Linked DNA regions of Kluyveromyces lactis. The main gene of each other region encodes a partner of the protein of the gene in region 4 in a complex. Links are inferred from orthologs where the notes say so. Each region holds a gene or a part of one and is shown on either strand. Other genes may lie near its edges. The genes, in order: SMD2, PRP6, SME1, SMD1 and SMX2.

What was found.
Region 1: SMD1 (region 4) and SMD2 share a complex: the UniProt entries of both Saccharomyces cerevisiae proteins name them as parts of the sm core complex. The link is inferred for Kluyveromyces lactis from reciprocal best matches to the Saccharomyces cerevisiae genes SMD1 and SMD2.
Region 2: SMD1 (region 4) and PRP6 share a complex: the UniProt entries of both Saccharomyces cerevisiae proteins name them as parts of the U4/U6-U5 tri-snRNP complex. The link is inferred for Kluyveromyces lactis from reciprocal best matches to the Saccharomyces cerevisiae genes SMD1 and PRP6.
Region 3: SMD1 (region 4) and SME1 share a complex: the UniProt entries of both Saccharomyces cerevisiae proteins name them as parts of the sm core complex. The link is inferred for Kluyveromyces lactis from reciprocal best matches to the Saccharomyces cerevisiae genes SMD1 and SME1.
Region 5: SMD1 (region 4) and SMX2 share a complex: the UniProt entries of both Saccharomyces cerevisiae proteins name them as parts of the sm core complex. The link is inferred for Kluyveromyces lactis from reciprocal best matches to the Saccharomyces cerevisiae genes SMD1 and SMX2.

What each region holds. Positions count from the first base shown.
Region 1 is NC_006040.1:780,430-784,935, forward strand, and holds SMD2 (mRNA splicing protein SMD2), read left to right. Parts: upstream 1-2,426; coding exon 2,427-2,759; downstream 2,760-4,506. Other genes in the region: MCM DNA helicase complex subunit MCM5, read left to right, coding at 1-2,084; Ras family guanine nucleotide exchange factor CDC25, read left to right, coding at 3,423-4,506. UniProt on the Saccharomyces cerevisiae protein: Plays a role in pre-mRNA splicing as a core component of the spliceosomal U1, U2, U4 and U5 small nuclear ribonucleoproteins (snRNPs), the building blocks of the spliceosome.
Region 2 is NC_006042.1:395,655-401,896, forward strand, and holds PRP6 (U4/U6-U5 snRNP complex subunit PRP6), read left to right. Parts: upstream 1-1,956; coding exon 1,957-4,614; downstream 4,615-6,242. Other genes in the region: PHO89 (Pho89p), read left to right, coding at 1-1,615; LYS14 (Lys14p), read left to right, coding at 5,019-6,242. UniProt on the Saccharomyces cerevisiae protein: Participates in pre-mRNA splicing. Part of the U4/U5/U6 tri-snRNP complex, one of the building blocks of the spliceosome.
Region 3 is NC_006037.1:203,826-208,207, forward strand, and holds SME1 (mRNA splicing protein SME1), read right to left. Parts: upstream 1,470-4,382; coding exon 1,188-1,469; downstream 1-1,187. Other genes in the region: mitochondrial 37S ribosomal protein PET123, read left to right, coding at 1-907; mRNA transport regulator MTR10, read left to right, coding at 1,742-4,382. UniProt on the Saccharomyces cerevisiae protein: Involved in pre-mRNA splicing. Binds and is required for the stability of snRNA U1, U2, U4 and U5 which contain a highly conserved structural motif called the Sm binding site. Involved in cap modification.
Region 4 is NC_006040.1:319,455-323,856, reverse strand, and holds SMD1 (mRNA splicing protein SMD1), read right to left. Parts: upstream 2,142-4,402; coding exon 1,716-2,141; downstream 1-1,715. Other genes in the region: MRPL25 (mitochondrial 54S ribosomal protein mL59), read left to right, coding at 90-563; U4/U6-U5 snRNP complex subunit PRP38, read left to right, coding at 864-1,568; KLLA0_D03751g (uncharacterized protein), read left to right, coding at 2,773-3,336; KLLA0_D03740g (uncharacterized protein), read right to left, coding at 3,326-3,658; UPF3 (Upf3p), read right to left, coding at 3,900-4,402. UniProt on the Saccharomyces cerevisiae protein: lays a role in pre-mRNA splicing as a core component of the spliceosomal U1, U2, U4 and U5 small nuclear ribonucleoproteins (snRNPs), the building blocks of the spliceosome. Also binds telomerase RNA and is required for its accumulation.
Region 5 is NC_006040.1:658,091-662,336, reverse strand, and holds SMX2 (mRNA splicing protein SMX2), read right to left. Parts: upstream 2,201-4,246; coding exon 2,177-2,200; intron 2,099-2,176; coding exon 1,901-2,098; downstream 1-1,900. Other genes in the region: KLLA0_D07744g (ammonium transporter), read left to right, coding at 1-171; EMA19 (Ema19p), read left to right, coding at 682-1,194; GNA1 (glucosamine 6-phosphate N-acetyltransferase), read left to right, coding at 1,210-1,776; MDJ1 (Mdj1p), read right to left, coding at 2,743-4,158. UniProt on the Saccharomyces cerevisiae protein: Plays a role in pre-mRNA splicing as a core component of the spliceosomal U1, U2, U4 and U5 small nuclear ribonucleoproteins (snRNPs), the building blocks of the spliceosome.

The DNA.
Region 1 (4,506 bases), about 460 kb from region 4:
ACCTGTTGGTTCATAAATACTTCCTTGACGTGAATACGGAGCATCTTATTGGATATAATGAAGATCTATACAAAAAATTACAGGATGAACCGATAGATATTATCCCGTTGTTCGAACAAGCAATAACTCAAGTGGCAAAGAGAATTGTTTTGTTATCGCAAGATTCTGATATTGATCCAGAGACAGCGTTGTCGAACTTCCCACTATGTCAGCTCATTTTAAATTCCAGTTCTATGGAAATTCCATTAAGAAGTTTGGATTCGGATCACGTTTCTAAGATCGTCAGAATTACAGGGATCATCATCTCATCCAGTGTCTTGACATCAAGAGCCACTCAGTTATCGCTAATGTGTAGAAGCTGTAAACATATGACAACTTTGAAGTTGAACAATTTCCAGAATTTGAATAACAATAACGTCCAGTTACCTCGTGAGTGTCTTGCAGATCGTTCCAACGAAACAGATGAAACAGCAGCTTCTTGTGGCCCTGACCCATATTTAATCGTACACGAATCGTCACAGTTTATTGACCAACAGTTTTTGAAACTACAAGAATTACCGGAATCCGTGCCAATTGGTGAATTGCCTAGAAATTTACTAATGACATGTGATAGATATTTGACCAACCAAGTTGTTCCAGGAACAAGAGTTACCATTATTGGTATTTATTCCATCTACCAATCCAAGAATAAGAGTATTAATAGTTCTGGAAATAAAGCTGTGGCGATCAGAAACCCTTACGTGAAAGTTATCGGGATCAAACACCTATCAAATAATCCGTTAAACAATTCTCTATCTATGTTTTCGGAAAGTGAAGAACAAGAATTTTTGGAGCTTTCCCAACGACCAGATCTATATGAACTTTTCGCCAACTCAATTGCTCCCAGTATCTATGGTAACACTGATATCAAGAAAGCCATCGTTTGTCTCCTTATGGGCGGATCGAAGAAATTGTTACCAGATGGTATGAGACTAAGAGGTGATATCAACGTGCTACTGCTTGGTGATCCTGGTACTGCAAAATCCCAACTGTTGAAATTTGTGGAAAAAGTTTCTCCGATTTCGGTATATACATCTGGTAAAGGTTCTTCTGCAGCTGGTTTGACGGCAAGTGTCCAAAGAGATCCAACTACACGGGAATTTTACCTAGAAGGAGGTGCAATGGTGCTTGCTGATGGTGGTGTTGTCTGTATTGACGAATTTGACAAGATGAGAGACGAGGACCGTGTTGCCATCCATGAAGCCATGGAACAACAAACTATTTCCATTGCTAAAGCCGGTATCACTACCGTTTTGAATTCTAGAACTAGTGTCTTAGCTGCAGCAAACCCTGTTTACGGTAGATATGATGATTTGAAATCACCGGGTGAAAACATTGATTTCCAAACTACCATCTTGTCCAGATTCGATATGATCTTCATTGTTAAAGATGATCACAATGAAGCTAGAGATATCCAAATTGCGAACCACGTCATGAACATTCACACAGGAAGAACTCAACAAAACGATCCAAATGATAATTCCAACTCCAACAACGAAATTCCAATAGAAACTATGAAGAGATATGTTAGTTACTGTAGGTTAAAATGTGCCCCCAGGTTATCTCCTGAAGCAGCCACAAAATTATCTTCTCATTTCATCACTATTAGAAAACAATTACAAGAGTCCGAAAGACATTCCAATGAGAGGTCTTCCATTCCAATCACAGTTCGTCAATTAGAAGCCATAATTCGTATCACAGAATCTTTAGCTAAATTAGAACTGAATCCAGTAGCGACCGAAAAACATGTTGATGAAGCCATTAGATTATTCCAAGCTTCTACGATGGATGCTGCCTCTCAGGATCCTATCAACTCCCAGGAAAATGATACAACAATGCTCTCACAAATTAGAAGAATCGAATCTGAATTGAAAAGAAGGTTGCCAATAGGATGGTCTACAAGTTACAAAACTTTGCAAAGGGAATTCGTTGTGAACAAGAAACTTCCCCAATATGCGCTAGATAAGGCGTTATACCTGTTAGAAAGACATGATTCTATTCAACTAAGACATCAAGGTCAGAATATTTATAGAAGTGGAGTATGAAGTTGCAAATGAAATTCAGGAACCCCTCCTTGAACATTGTCTATAACTCATATGTACCACTGTGTATAAGGAATTTCAGCGACTATGTGTTGATATTTATATAGTGTAAGATTACCCGGATAATGATAATGATAATTGGATAATCCGAAAGAAAACAACTGGATGGTATATTGGGTTTGATGCACAGGATGAGATGATGAGATGACCAAAGAAGGAACCTCTCATATCATATGGCAATCAGGACAAGTTATCACAAACTTACGAGATTGCAAATATCATAAGCCAAGGACTTATCTTCAGGATTTGTCTGTTACATATACTAGAAAATTGACCTAAAACACGATGGCCGATACATATATTCCAAAGACAGACCTTTCAAGGTCTGAACTATCTAGAGACGAGCTAACACAACTAGAAGAATTCGAAATGAAATATGGACCCATGTCTCTAATCAGGGAATCAATGCTACAGAGGACACCTGTTATAATATCACTAAGGAACAATCATAAACTCATAGCTCGTGTGAAATCTTTTGACAAGCACTGTAACATGGTTCTGGAAAACGTTAAAGAAATATGGACAGAGAATGTAAATGGTAAGAAGGTTAACAGAGAGCGATTCGTAGCGAAACTCTTTCTTAGAGGGGACTCAGTGATTATAGTGGTAAAGACATGAACCTGTTTTTATCATCCCATCAACATCCTTTCTGAAGTCACGTGTACTGATATGTTCGCTGCCACTGAAAGCATCAAGTAAAAGGGTTATAGAGCTAATAATCTGATCAAATATCAGGACAAAGATGCATTAATCTTCTGTGAAGCCTTTACCGCATTGAACCAATGTAACTTTCTGATCTGTGCCCGGATTCTCCCTAGTTTTTATATGTCGAATTCCAAACGGCGCATACTCAAAATACGTAATTCAAGCTCAAAAGAACCGTTTAATCCTCTATAGAACTAGATATCAATACATAATACGGCTCAAACCATACAACCCAATACATCCCTTATTTTACAGCTAAGGGGTTGCCTTACCAAATTCAGTATACTGCTAATCACTATTTTTGCCGTTTTAACGTAACGAATACTCAGTTTGGATATTTCACGAATGATATTTCTTCATATTTTTTTTTTTTTTTTTTATTTTTCACTTTCATGAACTCTTTTAAAAAACTAGTCAAATCGCTCTTTTATATCACAGGGATAAGTCAAAGCGCAAAACCTAACTGAAATACATCAAAACAATCACAGGACAACGTTAGGTACTATTGTCAAAGAGTTATATATTAAAAAGAGGCGTGTGAAGTGTGCTTTTATTCTATAGCTTTCACAACTGACAATGGAAAGGCCACAGGACGAGGGAATGAATCCTCCAAAAGCTGGATTGTCTACAATTATAAAACCTTTGGACATAGTGATAGCGCAGTATGACTTTAATCCGCTAAGGAAATCTCAATTACGGTTTTTTGCCGGTGATATTATCTACGTTATATCGAAGAGTGACTCAGGTTGGTGGGACGGTATTTTATATTATAATAAGAGCTTGGTTTTGAGGGGCTGGTTCCCCAGAAGTTATACTAAATCAATAAAGGATACCAGTTCAAGTCGGAAGATATTTCCTCTGAATTACCATGGCAGCAATGCTTTTAATAATAGGCCTAGTAGCCATGGGTCACGGAGGAACAGTTTGAGGATAGGCAGCCCATCTGGGAATATGAATATTCGTTCTACGTCTGGGTCAAGAAGGGGATCTTTGGTGAGTACCGGGAACTTTAGAAGGAAAAGTCTTGGTACGACTACTTTCCACGATAATCATGATAATGCAATAAATAGTGGGCAAACGCTACTGTCGACGTCTCCTTCAAATTCTGCAAGTAGTGTCAATAATTCTAGCCCGTCATCGCATTTGAAACAGGATTACCAATTCGATATGAATCGCAGATCCTTCTCTCACTCAAGGAGCAAACCAAATGCAACCTCCAAATCAAGAAGTGCATCAACTAGCAGTTCTCGAAACTCTTACTGTCGTTCATCTGAATCTTTATCCAAAGCGCGGTCTCATTCAGAATCCCGTAACTCAGATCATTCATACAGTAAACATTCTGTATCGTCAATACGGTCCCCACATACTCTTCATGAGTCAGAAATCAACATTCTTTCTACTAAAGAAGTTGAAATGCTCTTAAATAACATGTCAAGACAAGAGGTTGTGCCGGTATGGACCCCGGTTTTGACTACAAGCAATAATTTATTATACTTCAATAAAGAAATGAACATTTATTGTACATCTTTACCTATATCAAGGACACCTGAACTAAGCTTAAAATCTGTTTTCCCGCCTAATGAAAACCTGGTCGACTTACAAGCAAGAAGCCTAGAATCAGACTTTTTGCCTAATACTCAAGTGATGGATCTGGAATCTG
Region 2 (6,242 bases), on a different chromosome or scaffold from region 4:
GGCTATGATCCTTGCTGCTTTATGTGAATTTTTGGGGGCTGTCTTAGCGGGTGCTAGAGTCTCTGGTACCATCAAGAACAATATTATTTCTGCTTCACCTTTCGAAGATGATCCAGCTGTGTTAATGTTAACTATGGCATGTGCTCTTGTCGGTTCTGCCACTTGGCTTTCAATTGCGACATCTATTGGTATGCCAGTGTCATCGACTCATTCTATCGTTGGTGGTACCATCGGTGCCGGTATTGCTGCCGGTGGTGCCAAGGGTGTCCAATGGGGTTGGGGTGGTGTTTCTCAAATTATTGCTTCTTGGTTTATTGCTCCAATCTTAGCCGGTTGCTTGGTCACTATTATTTTCTTGATCTCCAAGTTCCTGGTCTTGGATGTTAAGCCAATTGAAAAAGCTATTAAGAACGCTTTACTACTCGTCGGATTTTTGGTGTTCGCTACCTTCTCGGTGTTGACTATGTTGATCGTTTGGAAGGGTTCTCCAAACTTGAAGTTGGATAAATTGTCTGGCACAACTACCGCATTGGCTATTGTTCTTACTGGTCTAGTCGCTTGTGCTGTTTACTTCATCTTCTTGTACCCATACTACAGAAGAAGAATCTTGCACAGAGACTGGACCCTAAAATGGTATGATATTTACAGAGGCCCAACTTTCTACTTCAAGTCCACTGACGACATTCCACCTCTACCTGCTGGACAATCTTTAACCATTGATTACTACGAAGGTAGAAGATTCGAAGATGAAACTGCCGGAGATGATGAAACCCAAATTGAAACTTCCCACACCGCCGATGGAAGAGATACTGTAGAGGGACATATTGAAATTAACGACAAGGAATCTGTCAACCAAAGTATCAAATTGGTGCAAACAGAAACTTTGCAAGAAGAAAAACCAACTACCAAACAGCTATGGTGGTCATTGCTAAAACAAGGACCAAAGAAGTGGCCTCTATTACTTTGGTTGATTGCTTCTCACGGTTGGACTCAAGATGTTATTCATTCTCAGGTCTACGATACAGGTGCTTTGTCAACAGATTTCAAGGACATGTACAAGAGATCTGCCTTCTATGACAACAGAATCGAATTCATCTATTCTATCTTGCAAGCTATTACCGCCGCCACTATGTCTTTTGCTCACGGTGCCAATGATGTTGCCAACGCCACTGCACCACTAGCTGCCGTGTATGACATCTGGCAGAAAAACACTGTGGAATCTAAGTCTGACGTTCACACATGGGTTTTAGCATACTGTGCCGCTGCATTGGTCCTCGGTTGTTGGACATACGGTTACAGAATCATCAAGAACTTGGGTAACAAGATGATTTTGCAATCTCCATCCAGAGGGTTCTCCGTTGAACTTGGTGCTGCTGTTACCACTGTTATGGCAACACAATTAAGTATTCCTGTTTCTACTACTCAAGTTGCTGTCGGTGGTATTGTGGCCGTTGGTCTTTGTAACAGGGATTTGAAATCCGTTAACTGGAGAATGGTCGCTTTCTGTTACAGTGGTTGGTTCTTAACTCTTCCAATGGCTGGTCTCATTGCAGGTATCTTGAACGGTATCATCTTGAACGCACCACGTTACGGTGGAGATTACCAATTATCATAATCATCAGATTGATATTTTCTTTCTCATGGCCTCAGCGCCTTTTAGGAACTTTCATTAATTAATTGTTTGTGCACTAGCTAGATAATAGTTTATCTGCTACAAATATAGAACATATTCGGTATTATAGATTCTGCAAATTTCCTCATATATTAGCCTGCATATTTAATTCTTTCTAAGCAGAATCGATATTTATTTCTATCAACGCTTATTCTCTATTGTTTTAAGAATCTGTAGAATATCTTTAAAAACAAAACCTTTAAAATTTGTATCGAAAGGACATCTCATACAGTAAACTATTCACTAGTAAATCATCTGAGTAAACAACTATCACGGTGATAGGCATGGAGACTCCCAGTTTCCTAAAACAATCTCCACCACCTGGTTACATCGCTGGTATAGGTCGTGGAGCGGTTGGCTTTTCCACCAGAGGAAGTAAAGATGATAAAAGAGTTCCTGCTAGATTGAATAGATATGGGCGAGATGCACCAGATACTTCTGTAACAAAGAATCCAAATAGATACAGATCAGCAGTTTCGAATGAATCATCGGAGAAACAGGTTAAAGATGAAGACGAACAAGAGATGAGAGTGTACGAAAAGATCGAACAGCGACTTAAGAATAAAAAAATTATCGACAATGAAACAAGCCTAAAGACGAAGCCAGATGATGAACCAGACAAGCTATCTTCTAAATTTGTAGATTTGAAGCGTAATTTAGCAACTCTTTCTGAGCAAGACTGGCTGGATATCCCTGACGCATCTGATATGACCAGACGAAACAAAAGGAATCGAATAGAGGAACAACTTGAAAGGAAAACATTCGCTGCTCCTGACACTTTGTTCCAGGTTAATGTCAACTTATCCAAGTTAACTGAAGAGAGGGAAAAGTTACTTGCTGTCCAGATAGATAAGAGTTTTGATTACAGCAAAAGTCAACTTACGGATGATGCTGAATACTTGAATAGAATGAACCAAGATGACAACACTATTTCATCTACGGATTTGGAAGACATTAGGAAAAACAGATCCCTATTAGCCGCGTATCGTAAATCCCATCCAAGAAATCCAGAAAACTGGATTTCTTCAGCAAGAATCGAAGAAAGAGCCAATCAGTTCAATCGAGCCAAAAGTTTGCTAGCGGAAGGTTGTAAACTGTGCCCTAAAAGTGAAGCTATCTGGTTAGAATCGATACGCATGAACGCATCCGATAAAGAATATTGCAAGAGGTTGGTTACAGTTGCCTTAAGGCTCAACGAGTTTAGTGAGCAGTTGTGGTTGAAGGCAATCGCCCTCGAACAACACAATACTGATAAAATTAAAGTCACTCGAAAGGCTCTAATTAAACTACCACTAAGCTCTATATTATGGGAAGTGGCGGTAAATCTTGAAACTTCCACTCTTGAAAAGCTGAAAATTTTGAAGAAAGCAGTTGAATTAGTGCCGAAGGATTCGCAGTTATGGTTGAAGTTGATAAGGTTACAATCAGTCGAATCTGCAGTGGACACCTTGAAATCTGCTGAAGAACATATTAAAAAAGACATCACATACTGGCTTCTCAAATGTCAACTCGAAGAAAAAAGAACGACCGCAAATCTCGATACGTTGGTAAATATCATTTCTAGCGCAATAAAGGATCTTCATGAACTGGAAGTTAATCCAACTATTACTGAGTGGTTCGAAAATGCAGTCGCTATATCAACAGAAGGATTGTATCCATTAACAGCGAAAGCAATCATCACAGCTACCATCAATAACTTATTTGAAGACGCATCCTCAAATTTCCAAAGTCTCTCGAAGCTGTTGGTAAACGACACCACACTTCAGTGTACCTTGTTTTCCTCCTTCCTAATCAAATATCCAACAAAGTACTCTATTTGGAAGGAGTTCACCAATTTCGCCGAAGACTTTTCGCGGAAATTAGAGCTACACGAAACATTCAGGAAGATCCTCTTTACAGATTCTCAAGCGGTAAAGAAATACCCTGTCTTGGTTTTAATGTATGCGAAAGACGTTTGGGATTGGGGTTCTGGTTCCACTGAAGCGTTGTCGATTTTAGATAAAGCTCTGGTGACAAATTCGGCGTATCCTGAGTTTTGGTTGGCTAAACTCAAAATTTTGAACAGAGATGGCAAATTGGATGAGATTATAAATTCCTTTGAAGAAGCCGAATCACACTTGGTAGAATGCATTGATAAATTAGTTCCTTTTTACGTTAAGTGTTTGCAATCTAAAGGCAGTTTGGAAATAGCTCATTCTACTGTTGATATAGCTTTGGCACGTGAACCAAACGACAAACATTTACTAATCTTGAAAGCACAGCTATACAGGCAACAAAGGGACCTTTCATCAGCGAAGCGTGTGCTACAGAGGGCTACGGATATTTCTAATCATGATCCAGAAGTGTGCTTGGAGTTCTCCAGACTGGTAATGGAAACACAAGATTGGGGCAAAGCGCGTTCAATACTCAGCGTTTCTCTACTAAAGAATCCAAAATCCGATACACTCTACGAGGCTCTCATTACATTGGAACTGCAAGTGAAAGATAACAAACAAGTAACGTACCTCATCGCTCAGGGTCTCAAAGCGTGTCCACACAGCTGGAGGCTCTGGTGTCTAAACATCAGAACCCTTCCTAAAAAATCACTACGTAAAACCACATTCCAAGATGCTCTCGAAGCTACAAAAGAGCATCCAATGGTGATAACTGAGATCGGAAAAGTGTTCCAAAAGGAACACCAATACGCGAAGGCATATAAATGGTTCATAAGAGCCTCGGAAAATAATCTTCAATTTGGGGACCCATGGGTATGGCTCTACATCTGCGAGTCGTGCATGAATCCAGTTGATTTGCAAATAAATGAAGAAAAAACGTTAAAGAAATTGAAAGAAAATGAACCCAGGTACGGTATACTATGGGAGCCCGCAGTAAACTCATACCTACACATATCAAACTCTCCGATTGATATTTTGCACAGCATTATCAACAATTTACACCAATAATTAGATAGAATGTAAGATTGTAAGATTGTAATAATAAAAATTGGGACAACACTGATGCGACTGTAAATTGACTTTCCGCATTGTCAGAAGTTCCGTTCCTCAATCGTAACTAACCCAGTATATGCGGCAGTTCTGTGTATTTTTCCGTTGTGATCTGATTCTCTGCTATGAAAGAGTCAGCTCTTATATCTATCAAAGAGAACTTTTTCCAGTGGAATTTGAAAATTTGAAAACGAACAACCAAAATGGAACTTCGAAATTGCGAAGAGTATTGGTAGTCGACAGGGATCGGAGGTGAAGTGAAAAACATCGATAGCAGCTGTTGAGAGTCTTAAATACCCGCCGAGGTCCACGTCATTTTTACCAGGGAAGTTATATATATATACTGATAGGTCAGAAAAAGTATGTCGTTCGGCAAGGGACGCAATGAGAGTTTGGATTGTCTCACTCCAGCATCGTATGTGTCTCAAGGTGCGGCACCTGAGGCACCAGCACCGACCCAAAGTGTCAGGGCAAGCCAGCCGCCACTATTCCCAGCTAGTAGCAGACATATTCTGTCTCCTTCGACGTTACTAGCGCATCCAAGTCCGCATTCAGTGCCCAGTACTGCTACTCTGCTTGGACTTTCCTCTGAACACGTAATCACTAGTCCTCAGTCGGTTCAGTTGAAAAATACACCTACTTCTATCGGACCAAGTCCAAGAGATGTGCTAGTTACCAATCTATCGCCGATCTCTGATATTTTACAAGGTGATCGTTCATCTATGTCACCTGCATCTGGAATCTCTTCCGTAGATGCATCGGGTGCAACACCCTCGACAGATGCAGATGGGAAAATCGTCAAGCGTAAGTATTCTAGAAATGGTTGTTTGGAGTGTAAGAAAAGACGGATGAAATGTGACGAGGGCAAACCGACCTGTTGGCAATGTGCCAGGTTGAATAGAAAGTGTGTGTATATATTGAATCCAAAGAATAAGAAACGGAAACCCAGAAAACCCAAGTCTGCAGGGGCATGCGCTACATGTACTGAAGATGGTGATGAGAAGGGAAAGGTTAAGAATGATGCAACGATGAAGAGTGAAACAAATTTCTCACTGAATAGCCATGTTAATGATTCTTTGGTAAATTCAGGATTGCCAAACCTCATACCTGCAGGTAGCATTAACGCTATGGATGCCAATCTTTTGATTCAGAATCTCAACGACATTGTTAGTATGAAGTTGAATGACTCTTTGGTTAGCGATGAATTAAAGGATCTTGAGTTTAACGACTTAGATCTGCCAGATCTGAACTTTCCAATGCTTAACACTGCTTCGGAGTTTTCATCAGTTCCAATCTCCTTTTTGGTCGATAATACAATCACTTTCAACACATCTCTAGAATCATTCAAGCTAGGTGGTCTGCATGATAAATATCTGCGAACCTTTTACCATGACTGTTTGGATTCCATCACACCTTTCTTTCAAGACCAAAATAATCCACTTAGAGATATATTACTGTCATTCGGCAGGAACGAACCATATCTTCTCTCGGCGATTTTAGCTGTGGGCGCCTCTATTGTTCATCGTAAATCAAACAAAATGGAGGATGAAAAGGCGTATTGCGGCTATTTATCACATTGTTTGCAA
Region 3 (4,382 bases), on a different chromosome or scaffold from region 4:
GGGTGCAGCAAAGTATGGCTATAAGAGCGGAATTCTTCCATCAACGAGACGAATCTTGAAAAATCCAACTGTGAACCAAACGGGTATACTTGAAAGAGTCAAAGAAGCCAAGCCTAAGGGTATCAATGGTGTCGGTTATGCTAAGGGTATCAAACATCCAAAAGGATCTCATAGAAATCCACCTCCATTGAAATTCATTGATGTGGAGGAAGTTATCTATAACACGGTGAAACCTAAGAGTGAAAATACTACGGCTGCTAGTGAACAGCAGTTATTGAAGCAGAATCAAGCAGAGTTGCGTAGAAAATATTTGAGTGAGTCTTTACGTAACGAAGAACAAAGATTATTAAAGCAGGAAGAGCTATTGAAGAAGAAAGAAAGGGTACTACAAGAACAGAGAGAAGCCGAATTGAAAGAGCTTAACAAAGAACGTTCGAGTAACTTGACCATTCCAACATTGGAGGGCATTATGAATCAACCGCTTATGAGACAAAGGACTGCCGAAGAGCAAGAAATTCTGGATTTGAAGAGAAAGCACAACAAGGAATTGATTGAATTCAAGGCTAAAGAACGCAAACTTGCCAACTTGGTACAGCTTTGTCATGCAGCAGACCATTTCATTGTGACAGAAGAACAACTGGTGGCCAGTGTAGAAAAGGCATTCGCCTCGGACAACCAAGATGTATTAAGAAATAAGTTGTCTTTGTCGACTTCTCAACAAACAGCAAGAAACGAAGGTGAAATTTCGGATGCATTATTTGGTACTTTGGGCAACGGCAAATACGTAGGTTTGCCAATTGTGAAGGAATTTTTATCTGGTGAGATGGAACAATTTAACCAGGAAATTAATACCAAATTGGATGAATTAACTAAACAAGCGGAAGAACGTAAAGACTCTGTCCTTTGAGATATATCTTTTAGATAATATCACTGACACAAAAGAAACCATATGAACTTAAGGTATTCTCCCCAATCTGAGCAACACATTGTAAATAGATCCATAAGATTACGAACAATATATCTTTATTAGCCTTGATAGTGCTTGTCGCCGTTATCGAAATTTCAGTGCCTTTCATTTTTCCGTTATAATATACAGGCTTATATAATTACACGACAGAGTCCGATCAATGCTTCTACACTCTAAGCATCTTTCTTTCATCCTATTATCATTTTCTGAGTAGGCATTATCAATTTGCCACAACAAGTGTTATATTATCACCTTTCAACATAATTCTCCCAAGAAACACTGCTTTATCATCGCTCTCTTTACCACTTTTCGGATCTACAGCTATTTCGAAAGCGTCATCTATTACCACATTCATGAACTCATCAAAGCCTCTGATCTTGCCTCTTATACGTGTCTGTACTTGTTCGTATAACCAAAACGTTACTGTTGTCTGATGATGAAGGTAGTTGTATATGCAATTGATTGGAGGTACCATAGGAGCTCCTACTTTAGAGCCGGACATTTTAGACTTTTTCTAGAATCTTTCGGTGTATTGAAGGTCGATGTTAGTGTAACTATAATCAGATCGCAGTTATCCTTTATTAATGTCAGTCACTAGTGCCATGTTGAATTCGTTTGATATTAGTTTAATAGGATTATTGTTAACATATTAAAAAAATTTTATATATTGAATCAACCAAAACATTTGATCTTACTTATGCACTATAAAAGGAACTCATAAAAACTGCCACAGCAGATACCGTTGAGCAAGAACGACGTGATTGATCAATATTGATGTTGTATCAAATCCCAGATATCAAGAGTGCATTGATTTGTACTCAAAGTGTTTCTGAACAGGAGAAGAAGATACAAGCTTTACAATTTTTGGAGCAATTTCAAAAGAGCATAGAAGCATGGCAAATCTGCTTCGAAGTATTAAGCAAGCATGAAGCAGACAACTTACAGTTGCAAATGTTTGCTTGTCAAACTCTAGTGAACAAAGTCACCTATGATCTAAACCAGGTCAATACCGAATTAGAGAGTTTCAAGGGAAAGCTCTTTGAGTTCATCGCTATGTATGAAGAGAAGATCATAGTAACACAGTTGAACGTGGCACTAGCCCGATTTACCATTCAGTATCTTGATTGGAGGAATCCGCTAGTTGAAATTATTAATACTCTAAATGGTCTTCCGGGAAAGTTACTACTGTTTTTGAAGATTCTCCCAGAGGAAACATTGGATATCAAATCCACTCCTCTATCCCAAGATGAATTTGAGTGTAGAACACACGAACTTATAGATAACATTGGAGAAGACGTATTGAAATTTTTGATTTCATGTTTGGATAGAGTCGGAACTGAAGGCATATCTGCTTCTAAAATCATTTCGTGCTTTGGATCGTGGTGTTATGAATTTCCAATAGAACAGGTATTACAAGTGACTCCATTGATAAACACCGTGTTCCAAGTCTTGCATACTTCATATGATACTGATTCTGATTCTTTTGAAGCTGCAGTAGAATGCTTATGTGTGTTATTAAGAGAAACGAGAGACGCAGCCAACGATACAATCATACATGCGCTTTACGAGCAACTTTTAGCTTTGCAACAAAAGCTATTGCCAATCACAACCATTTCTGACTGGGAAGAATACGAAGAGATTATGGATCCACTCACACGTTTATTCGTTGAAGCTGGCGAAGCGTGGTGTGTTTTTCTTGCAAAGAATCCTGCCTTATTCAAACCATTGGTTGAAGTCATCTTGGTATTAACTTGCAAGAACACTGACCTCGATATCGTTTCGTATACTTTCCCATTTTGGTTTAATTTGAGGCAAATGTTAGTTTTACAACGTTACGCTCAACAAAGAAAAGAATATCAGGATGTATTTATTAATTTAACGAATGGTTTGATTACACATTTGCATTATCCGGAAACTGTTTTTGAAAATAAGGAAGATGAAGATAAATTTAAAGATTTTAGGTATAACATTGGTGATGTACTTAAGTCTTGTGCTGCTGTCTTAGGTTCAACCGTTGCATTGCAGCAACCATATAATCTTATCAACCAATATCTTCAGAAAGAAGATCCTAACACGGTCTGGCAACCACTAGAGGCTGCCTTGTTTGCTGTTCGTACAATGGCTCATGAAATTTCTCATACTGAAAACGTTGTGCTACCCCAACTTTTCAAACAACTATGCATACATCCACTAACTCACCCCAAATTGGTTTATTCTACAATACTCGTATTCTCGAGATACACAGAATGGACCAGTAAACATGAGGATCTACTGGAAATCCAATTGAATTATATATTCAATGGATTTGAAGCAGGCCAATCAAATCATGATCTCTCTGTTGCTGCCTCCAATGCATTAATGTATTTCTGTCAGGACTGCTCGTCACTTCTTGTTAATTATTGTGGCCAGTTAGTGGATTTTATTTGGAAAATTGAACGCGCAGTTGACAACTACTCTATGTTTGAGATGTGTCAAGGCTTAAGTTCTGTCATAAATGAGCAGGAAACAGCGAAGATTGGTGGCATATTCAATTCATTCACCTCCCAACATAATAAGAGGTTTGACATTATCATTCAGCAATTCATCTCGAACCCATCTGATCCTGATCTTTCTGCAAAAGTTGCACACTATATTGATTTGCTTTATGCAATTTTGGAGAACATTGTCCCCAAATTCGAGTATCCAGAACAAGGTGTTGAAGAACCGTTAATTGCCTCTATTTCCGAACATATTACAAAGTTAATTAACTTATTGGACGCATATGCGATCTCTAATGTTATCATTGTCGATAGAACAATGAAATTCTTCCGTCGTGTTTTCGAAAAATACCACCTATTCACACAACCAATACTTCCGGCGGTCTCAGAATTTGTGGCTAAAGGTTATTCAACAAGTGGTCTAGGAGCGTATTTGTGGTTCTCTGGTTCAATTATTTACGTTTATGGTGACGATGAATATTATCCTGTCGATGTACAGGTCAAAGAGGCAGTGTGGCAATTTGCCTGTCAGCAATGTTCTACATTCTTCAATAATTTTAAGTCAATGCAAACATTAGACAAATTCTTTGAAATGGTTCACGACTTCTTCCTTATGTGTAATGATCTTTTAATGTTTTTCCCTGAACATATGATGAACACTCCTGTGCTTATTTCGTCCCTAATACAATGGGATTTAGAGAGTCTTCCAAAACTCGACAATTTTGAAGCATATATGACATTGATCAGATTTTTAGATGATTTATCATCTTGGGGGTTCAAAACTCCACCTATCTCTGTTACGTCAATAACCGAAGTACCGGACGCTTGGAGATGTACAATATTGGAACAGGTAGTCTCTAAGAATGGCTCAAACATAGTTACAGCATTAATTAATGGCCTTGTGACTAATTTTGACAGTAGAGCTCACCAGGAAATTA
Region 4 (4,402 bases):
AAAATGGTCAAAGACAACTGATTTGGACTGCACTTAAAACTTCTTGCACCACCATTTGAGTCTGGAAGCTCGATTAAGGGAAGTACACTATGTCAGGAGCTAGCATGAAACACTATTTTGAACTGCTACCTGTTCAGTTGAAGAATTTTTTCAAGAAATATCCACCAAATGTTAAGTATAGTGATAAGCCAACGTTGATTACAGCCATGGATGCCAATCCATTTCTTCCAAATAAGAATCCTGCAACGGGAAAATACCATGAACCTAAGTACTCTTTGAGAAGGATGAGTGATCTATACAAGCTGGCGTACAGTTATGGGATTCAAGATCTGTTACCACCATCGAAGAAATTATTCTTTGAAGAGAAATATGAAAACAAGAAGTTTATGAAGGGTGTATTGATGCCGAAAGGTCACAAGCACGAACGTCTACTAGAAGGAAAAGTAGCCAAGATGGAGGAGGCTATTAAGAATGCCGATAAATACATTCTCGAAGCAAAGGGTTCCAAGTACAAAAGAAGATTAGAAAAGAAACAAAACCAAAATACCAGAAGTTGGTTCTAATGGTGCTGATAGGTTCACTCCCCCCTTACCTCTGGCCCCATCACGCATATCCTAAACACACCTAAGACCAACATGGGTTGTTCTTTTCACCTGTAAATATTTAGTCACCATGCATGTATATTGCTTATCTAGATCAAATTGCTCTGCAAATATATATAAATATTATATATATCACCAAGAACTATAAATCATTATGAATGAGAAACCAATTTGATAGAGGGCAGATATCAAATATAAAGAACAAAAGAGCTCAGCTGCTACTGTCTTCGACACAGTTTAGTATTATTCATAACACACACAATGCCTAACGAATTCTACGTGGAGGAGAACTTGTCTGGAAAGCAATTGAATCACCAATCAGCGTCTTTGGTAGTTCCTCAAATATTTAGAAATAAGGTATCGTCATGCATGTATTATAAATTTAATTTAACGCCCGCAAGTTTGAGGGGAGATACCATTGTCGAACTTATACCTGTTATTGTGAGAGATTTCGGGACTATGGATGAGCGGAAAACCCCGCATGTGACTGTCTTAGGTGGTATAGAGTTCAAATGTCTATTGATGAAATTGATCAACCTGCGACCTCCGTGGGAACAACTAAAAGTATTACTAGAACCGCATGAACCCTTAAACAACAAGTATATTGCAGCACTGGTATTATGTTATATGAGAATCTCGTATTATTTCTTAACTGAGAGTAATCCTTCCGAGCAAGATATATCGTTCAATTTATTACATGATTTAATGAAGAAATATATACTTGATCATAGAAAATTAAAAAGTTACTCGTTAGATATGGATTGTTGGTCATCATCGATTAAAAAAGAGATTAAATTGATACATTTCGATGAGTTGATAGACTGGTTATGCGACAGGAATGAAATTTGGGGCATCCCCTTAGGAAAATGCAATTGGTGTAAAATATGGGACGATGAAGAGGACGATGAGAGCTCAAGCGACTCGGACTCCAGCTCTGATCCAAGAGATGACAGTGATCAAATTTGATTCCATTCTTTCTTTTTTTGGAGGCATCGACTGGAAAGAACGGCTATTCATTATGAAAGATAATTATCAATAGTGTTTAATCATTCATCAAAACAAAGTCCATAACATCACTACATATTTATTTCCACATATGTTTTCTGATGTATATTAAAATGCCCTCTTTGGACGTTTAGGAGCATTCCCGTTACTCTCAAGTGATCTCTTCTTATTCGGATCACTTCCCACTTTACCTTGTTTCCTCAACCTGTTGACTTCCTGTTGGTCTACAAGCAACGCATCCAAATTGATACTATCTGGTAAAATAATCTGCCTTATCGTATTACCCCTAATGTTGATGAACTCGAGGCTAGTTGTTCTCTTAGATTCTTGTCCTTGTGTCGATCCACCTGACAATAAGACGGCAGCCAAGGTAGCTTCTGAGGTCTTAGTAGGGAGTGTCAGCCTGACGTCAGTAAGAGAGACGTTCATCTGCGGTGACACACTCCTCACTATTCCCCAAACAGTGGTACCATTCTTCAACTCTATAGACACCCTTTCATTCTTTAGTTTCTTTAAGAACCCTGTTAACTGCATTTTGTCTGTATATAAAACTTCGTTGTTTCAATCGGACTAAAGATACACCAGAAAGCTGTTACCAGTTTCAAATGGTTTTGATGAAAAAGAGTTTTGAATTTTGCAAAAGTAACAGATGATCCACAAGCAACTTCCTGATTTTGATAAAAGATCAGGATTTGATCGTAGTTACTCAATTGACATATTCTACATAATGATGGATGAAATGGTTCAAATTGATACTCAAGAATCAATGGGGTCGTTCTTTCCTGGAAAAGAGTGGAAATTTCATATTATCACGTGCCTTAACAGGGTAACTCATTTGCGTGAGATTCCAATGGTTTCTTACATTCGAGCGAGCATGTGTTCGAATCTTACATGGAACCCAAAAAGTATTTAGATCCGTTGCATCTCATGTTAAATGGTTAACAGATACACGGAGAAGTGCGATAAGAAACTATCCATGCAAGCGATAACAAAACGTTCTGTCAGTCATTGCTTTGATAAAATCTGGATATATATATATATATATATATATAGATGTTAAAGTCAGATATTACTCTTTTCATATCTCATGGATCGCAAGCTTTCAAGGTTACTGCTGCTCGCATCGAGAGATTGGGAGTATTAAAGATTAACGCCAAGAGTAAACATGTCGTCATCAGTAATCTTGAAGAGATATAATATTTTACTCAAACGTAACCCGTTATTAACTAAATGCATAACAGGCGCGGTATTAACTGGGTTAAGCGAACTGTTCAGTCAATGGGTTAGTCTGTCTCCAGAGGAAAGAAAAGAGAAGCTAAATTGGATCAAAGTGGCATTGATGAGTCTATATGGTGGTCTATTTAACGCACCAGTTAATCATTTCAGTTACAAATGGATAAACGAATACACAATTAGGAAAGTGGTATCCAAATATAGAAGCTTGGTCCAGTTAGGCTGCTCATTAGGCATGGTATCGCCTATTCAAGTGTTAGGGTTACTATTTACCTTGACTTCTGTTAACAACGGTAAGGTTGACAAAACAAAAATTATACACGCAATCAAGACAAGATATGCGGCAATGTTGTCTTCCAGCTTGGCAACATCAACGGTATTGATGTCAATTGCTCAAAGATACATTTCACCAGATAAATGGTCCGTATTTTTTAGTTTGGCATACGCAATTCTGGGTACGGCTCAGAATATTTATTTGAAGAAATTCAAGAAATAAGGGTCTTGATCCATTCTGATAAAATATTACTTTCATTCTTCAAGGAAAGAATCTCTCTCCGCAAATTCTCTTGAATCATTCGGTTTTTATCGTCCTCAGTTTGATCGTTTTCTGAAGACAAAGATATTGGACTCATCGGTAGTTTATTCCAATGTTCCAATTCGCTTTTCAAGCCTCTGTTCTCGTTTCTTAGCTTCTCGACTTCAGCATTGAGGCGTTCCAGACTTTGCTTTAAAGTCATGACTTCCTTATCCTTCAACCCAAGTTCATAGGTCAACTGTGCTAAATCTCCTTCTAATTCTGTAGTTCTAATATTCACCATCGATCGATGAAAATTATGGCGAGTGATATGCGTGTGTAATAATCCTTAGTTGAGTTTGCAAAATGAATTTGTTGTTAGTCCACAAAGCTGCTAATATTAAAAAGTCCTGTCACACTCCCTTTAAATATCAAGTGTCAGAGATCAGAAATAATATTCTGCACATTTGAATAAATGAAAGGGCACGTAAAAGAGAACTAAGCCAAAATATCGAGATGCCATCCATTGGTGCGATGTCTGCATATTAAGTTGGTTTGTCTTTGTGTTTAGGTCCATCAGACTGCCTTCCTTTTCTACTTTTTCTCTTTGATTTAGCTTTCTTATCTGATTCACTTGATGGATTTTTTTCTGGCTTAGTGTTTTCCTGCTTACGCTTCTCCGATTTCATTTCCTCCACATTGGCAGATTTAGACTTTATTTTTACCTTAGGAGTAACTTTAGAGGGAGTTTCCTTTGTTTCTTTGCTTGTTAAATCCTTCTTTACATCCTTGTCTTTGTCTTTATGTTTCTTTGATTTTTTACGTCTTGCTCTCTTCGTTACCTCCGAATCTGCAGGCATCTCTGGTTTGGGAACATCATCTTTCTTTGGTTTCAACAAAATCTTCTTCTTTGGCTTTTCTTCGGATGTTACCGCACTCTTCTCAGTTGTCGCAGTGTCAAATTTCGATGATTTCGGTTCAGATTTCGATTTAGGTTTAGATTTGGATTTGGATTTGTGTTTGGATTTAGACTTTTTGGGCTTCTCAA
Region 5 (4,246 bases), about 340 kb from region 4:
GAAATTGGTGAATTCACCTACGAAGAAGACGCTGTCTACATTCCAGAACCAATCAGATCCAAATCCATCGCTGAAGCTCCTCCAGCAAACATCGATGACAAGATTCACACAGGAAACAACTCTTCATCAGAACTACAATCTGAACCAAAAACTACTTCCGCTAATGCCTAAACTTTATTAATGTAATAATTTTGGTTTTGCAAATTTCAGAAACTGCAATTACACGAAATGTTCTTTTATTATCTGCTTTCAGCTGCTAATTGTAACCGTTAACCCTGATTTTACTGGTGAATCATTCTAAACTTCATTTATTCATTTCAAGCTAACACCAGTTCACACCAAAGTTTGGAAAGGAGATCTACTTCTAGCCGTCTTATGTGTTCAGTAATATCTAGTTCCTAATATGACACTTATGTACCACAATAATTAATAACGAATCTCTCATAAATCCCTTTGTTGTATAGCCATTCACGACCTTTGTATCAGGTTTGGCGTTCGTCTAGTTGCTGCTATGAGATTCCCTCCAAATCCGGGTAATATAAACAAGTAAGACGTTAAATTCAGCATCTGATAGAATAATCGATATAACTTGAGTAAAATCCTCATCGGTTTGAGTAGTGTTACCGACTCTAACCAGCGCTTCAAGAGACCAAGGTATATAAAGGGTAACTAAGGTCTAATATGAGTAAAGAGCAACGTGATTCGAGAAAGACTCAACTATGGAAGATCAATCTATGGAAGATCTGGTATGCAGTTAACATTCCAATCATTACGTTTTTGGATTCGAATGCAGTACTTCCTCCATATCTTCAATATACTAAGGGACTTCTAGATGGTTATATTGATAATTTCAATGATTTTCTAACTGCCAATCCTCCAAACTGGCTCAAATATATGACAATCATTGAAATTTTATTCCAACTGCCTGTGGCCATATATTGCTTATACCAGCTGCTAAACTTGTCAAAGTCAAAAACTATCAAAAGAACTTTATTCACAGTGGACCGTCTATCTAAATGCTATGCATTCAATGTCATCACCACCACTAGTTTTTGTATATGGTACGTTTGGGCCTATGGGTACTATCCAGCCACGATGAATACCGATCACGTGTCATTGAGTAACCCGGACAAACTGGCGCTAACGATGGTCTACGTTCCTTATGTTCTAATTCCAGCATTATTCTTTGTATAGGCACAATGATTAAATATGAACCATGATAAAAGAACCTTTATAGTCTCTTTGTTACATCAACAATTGATATTACCATTCATTTCTACCATCATCCTGCCGTTAATTGGAATTCTTACCATGTCATTACCAGAAGGATACACAATTAGAAGAACCAAGAAAGATGATTTTTCTGGGGTTACATCTGTGCTGAAAGTGCTAACGATGGTTGGTGATGTGAGCCAAGATCAATTCCATTCACTAATAGACCATTGGGATTCAGTCACGATAGGAGATATACCTATGTACAATAGCACTGTGATCGTTGACACAAATGGGGAAGTTGTCGCCACAGGAAACGTGCTAGTCGAGAAAAAAGTTATTCACGAATGTGGGCTTGTTGGTCATATTGAAGACATTGCAGTGAGAAAAGATCAACAGGGGAAGAAATTGGGATTGATATTAATTCAGTATTTATACAAATTAGCTAACGAGTATGGATGCTATAAAGTTATTCTTGATTGTGATGAAAGTAATGTTGGATTCTATGAGAAATGTGGATTGAAAAAAGCTGGTGTCGAAATGCAAATCAGATTCGACAAATGATGTTGTAACCAGTGTGCGCTCTATCATATCTATCCTTCCTTTCTACTAGCATAATTCATTGTACGTAAATGTCACTAAGTAAAGTGTTCCGACACATTGAGTTGTATTTGTCTCCCTTCTGCTCTTACAAACTGTCAAGAGGTTCTATCGATACAATGGAGTTACCTCTAACAACAGTCTGGGGTCCCATTTGGACCTCTCCTTCTTCGAAAATCTGTATTGGATTATCCAGTACTAAGTTCAAAAATGCATCATATCCTCGTAATATTCCAATAATTTTCCTATTGCCGTTAAGCTGTAGAATGAGTTTCTTGTCCATGTACTGTTTGCAACGAATCATATTATAGTTAGTAATTTAAATTCTGATAAGATTTTTCCTGGAAAACAGGGGTAAACATACTTTTCTCAAATCTGGAGATGTCATGGAATATTGGATGGTTTATAATGGGTCGTACGGAAGTGATAAGTCGTAGATATAGTCTCTTAACTCTTGGCAAAAGTCCTTCGAAATTTATCTTCAGTATATTTCAATTGATGAATTTTGTACATAATTATGCTTTTTCCATTCAAAAGTAATTTTCAATGTCACAATGTTAAGAAGACAACGATGGTCAGAATAAGTTACTAAAGCATATCGACCCTTACTGAAAACATTCGTTGTCATTGGCATGAATTTCAATCCCGAGCTAAATATGGTAAGTAGGGATAACTAGTAAGAGAATATCAAAACGATAAGTATTATGCGCTAAGTGCAATTATATATATATATAGGGAAATTGGTATTTACATGATGTTAAAGGGTTTTATAAAATAATGTGCAGTATATGCAATTACTGGCTATGACTGCTGTAAGTGGTACATGAATAATGAGAATGCCAATGTCGTAATTAGTTCATCCAATCAAAGAATTATGAAAGAATGAAGGTGGAATGTATGACGGGAGAGCATATATGCGATTTAAGGATTTCATTCCCCTCTGATCTTCTTTAAAGTGTTAGACAAGAAATTTTCCAATTTCTTGATGGTTCCTTCATTGTTTTCAACTGTGTCTTTATCAGCAGAGGAAGAGTTGTCCTTAGCCGACGATCCAGAGGGAGTAATGGTCCTTCTTGCAGTGGTATCATTGGTCAAGTGGGCCAAGGTCTCCCATAGATAACGTTCTGTTTCATCCTTTGGTTTTTTGATAACAATCTTGAACTTGACAAGCATGTCACCCCTGTCACCTCTAGCTCCACGAGGGACACCCTTATTTGGAATTCTGATGACTTGATCGTGTTGAGTACCAGAGCTGACCTTCAATCTGATCTTTTCTTCCTCTACGGTGGGTACTTCAATGACGCCACCTAGTGCTGCCGTTGTAATTGGGATTTCCTGAGTGTAAATGATGTCGTAATTATTTGAAACTTGGAATCTTGTGTCTTTCCTGACTCTGACACGAATCAACAAATCGCCTCTGGTTAAATGCAATTCAGATTTCATGGACGGATCGATAGCCATACCGGGGTAACTACCTTGGTTAGGTACTCTAATTGTGTCACCGTCCTGAAGTCCGTGAGGTAAGTCTACGGTGATAGTTTTATTTGAATTCAATTTGAAACCGTGGCTATGACAGGTACCACATTTATCGCTGTCCTTAATAGTTGAACCCTCACCATCACATGTTTGACAAGTAGAGGCCATTTGGAAACCTGCTCTTACATGTACCTGAGTACCTGTACCATGACATGTAGGACAAACACTTCTCGAATGTCCAGCTTTCAACCCACTTCCATCACATGACGAACACGGATCGTAGCATTGGTAATTCAATTTGACATTCTTCACACCGAAGACGGCATCTTTGAAGGATACTTGGAATGGTACAGTGACATTCTCACCTTTATATTCACGGACAAAATCGGAACCGCCAAATCCTGCTCCATGCGAACCAGCTCTCCTGCCTCCGGCACCACCACCACCACCACCACCAAACGCACTTCCGAAAAGATCTTCAAAGTTCAATCCACCGAAATCGAACCCTCCAAAGCCTCCGAATCCTTGTGCACCACCAGCACCAGCACCGCCATAGGCACCGCCTGGTCCACCGGCACCACCAGCTTGGCTGAATGCAGCAGCACCGAATTGATCATACTGTTTCCTCTTATCTTCATCGCTTAATATTTCATACGCGTTTTGCAAATCATGGAACTTCTTCTGAGAGTCTTCTTCCTTATTTATATCCGGATGATACTTCTTGGCCAGCTTGTAGTACGCTTTCTTAATGTCGGACTGACTGGAGTTCTTGTTAATCCCAAGGACCTTATAAGGATCCTTAAACTCTTGTCTTAGAAGTCTTGCCGTATGGAATTGACGTGGGTATTGTAATAAATATCTCTTAAACATATGGATATGGGGAAATGAGTTTTTTCTGTAACTCCCTAGTACGTATTTGATCCTATTAAATCTCGCCTTGTCCGAATTCTCTCTAAAT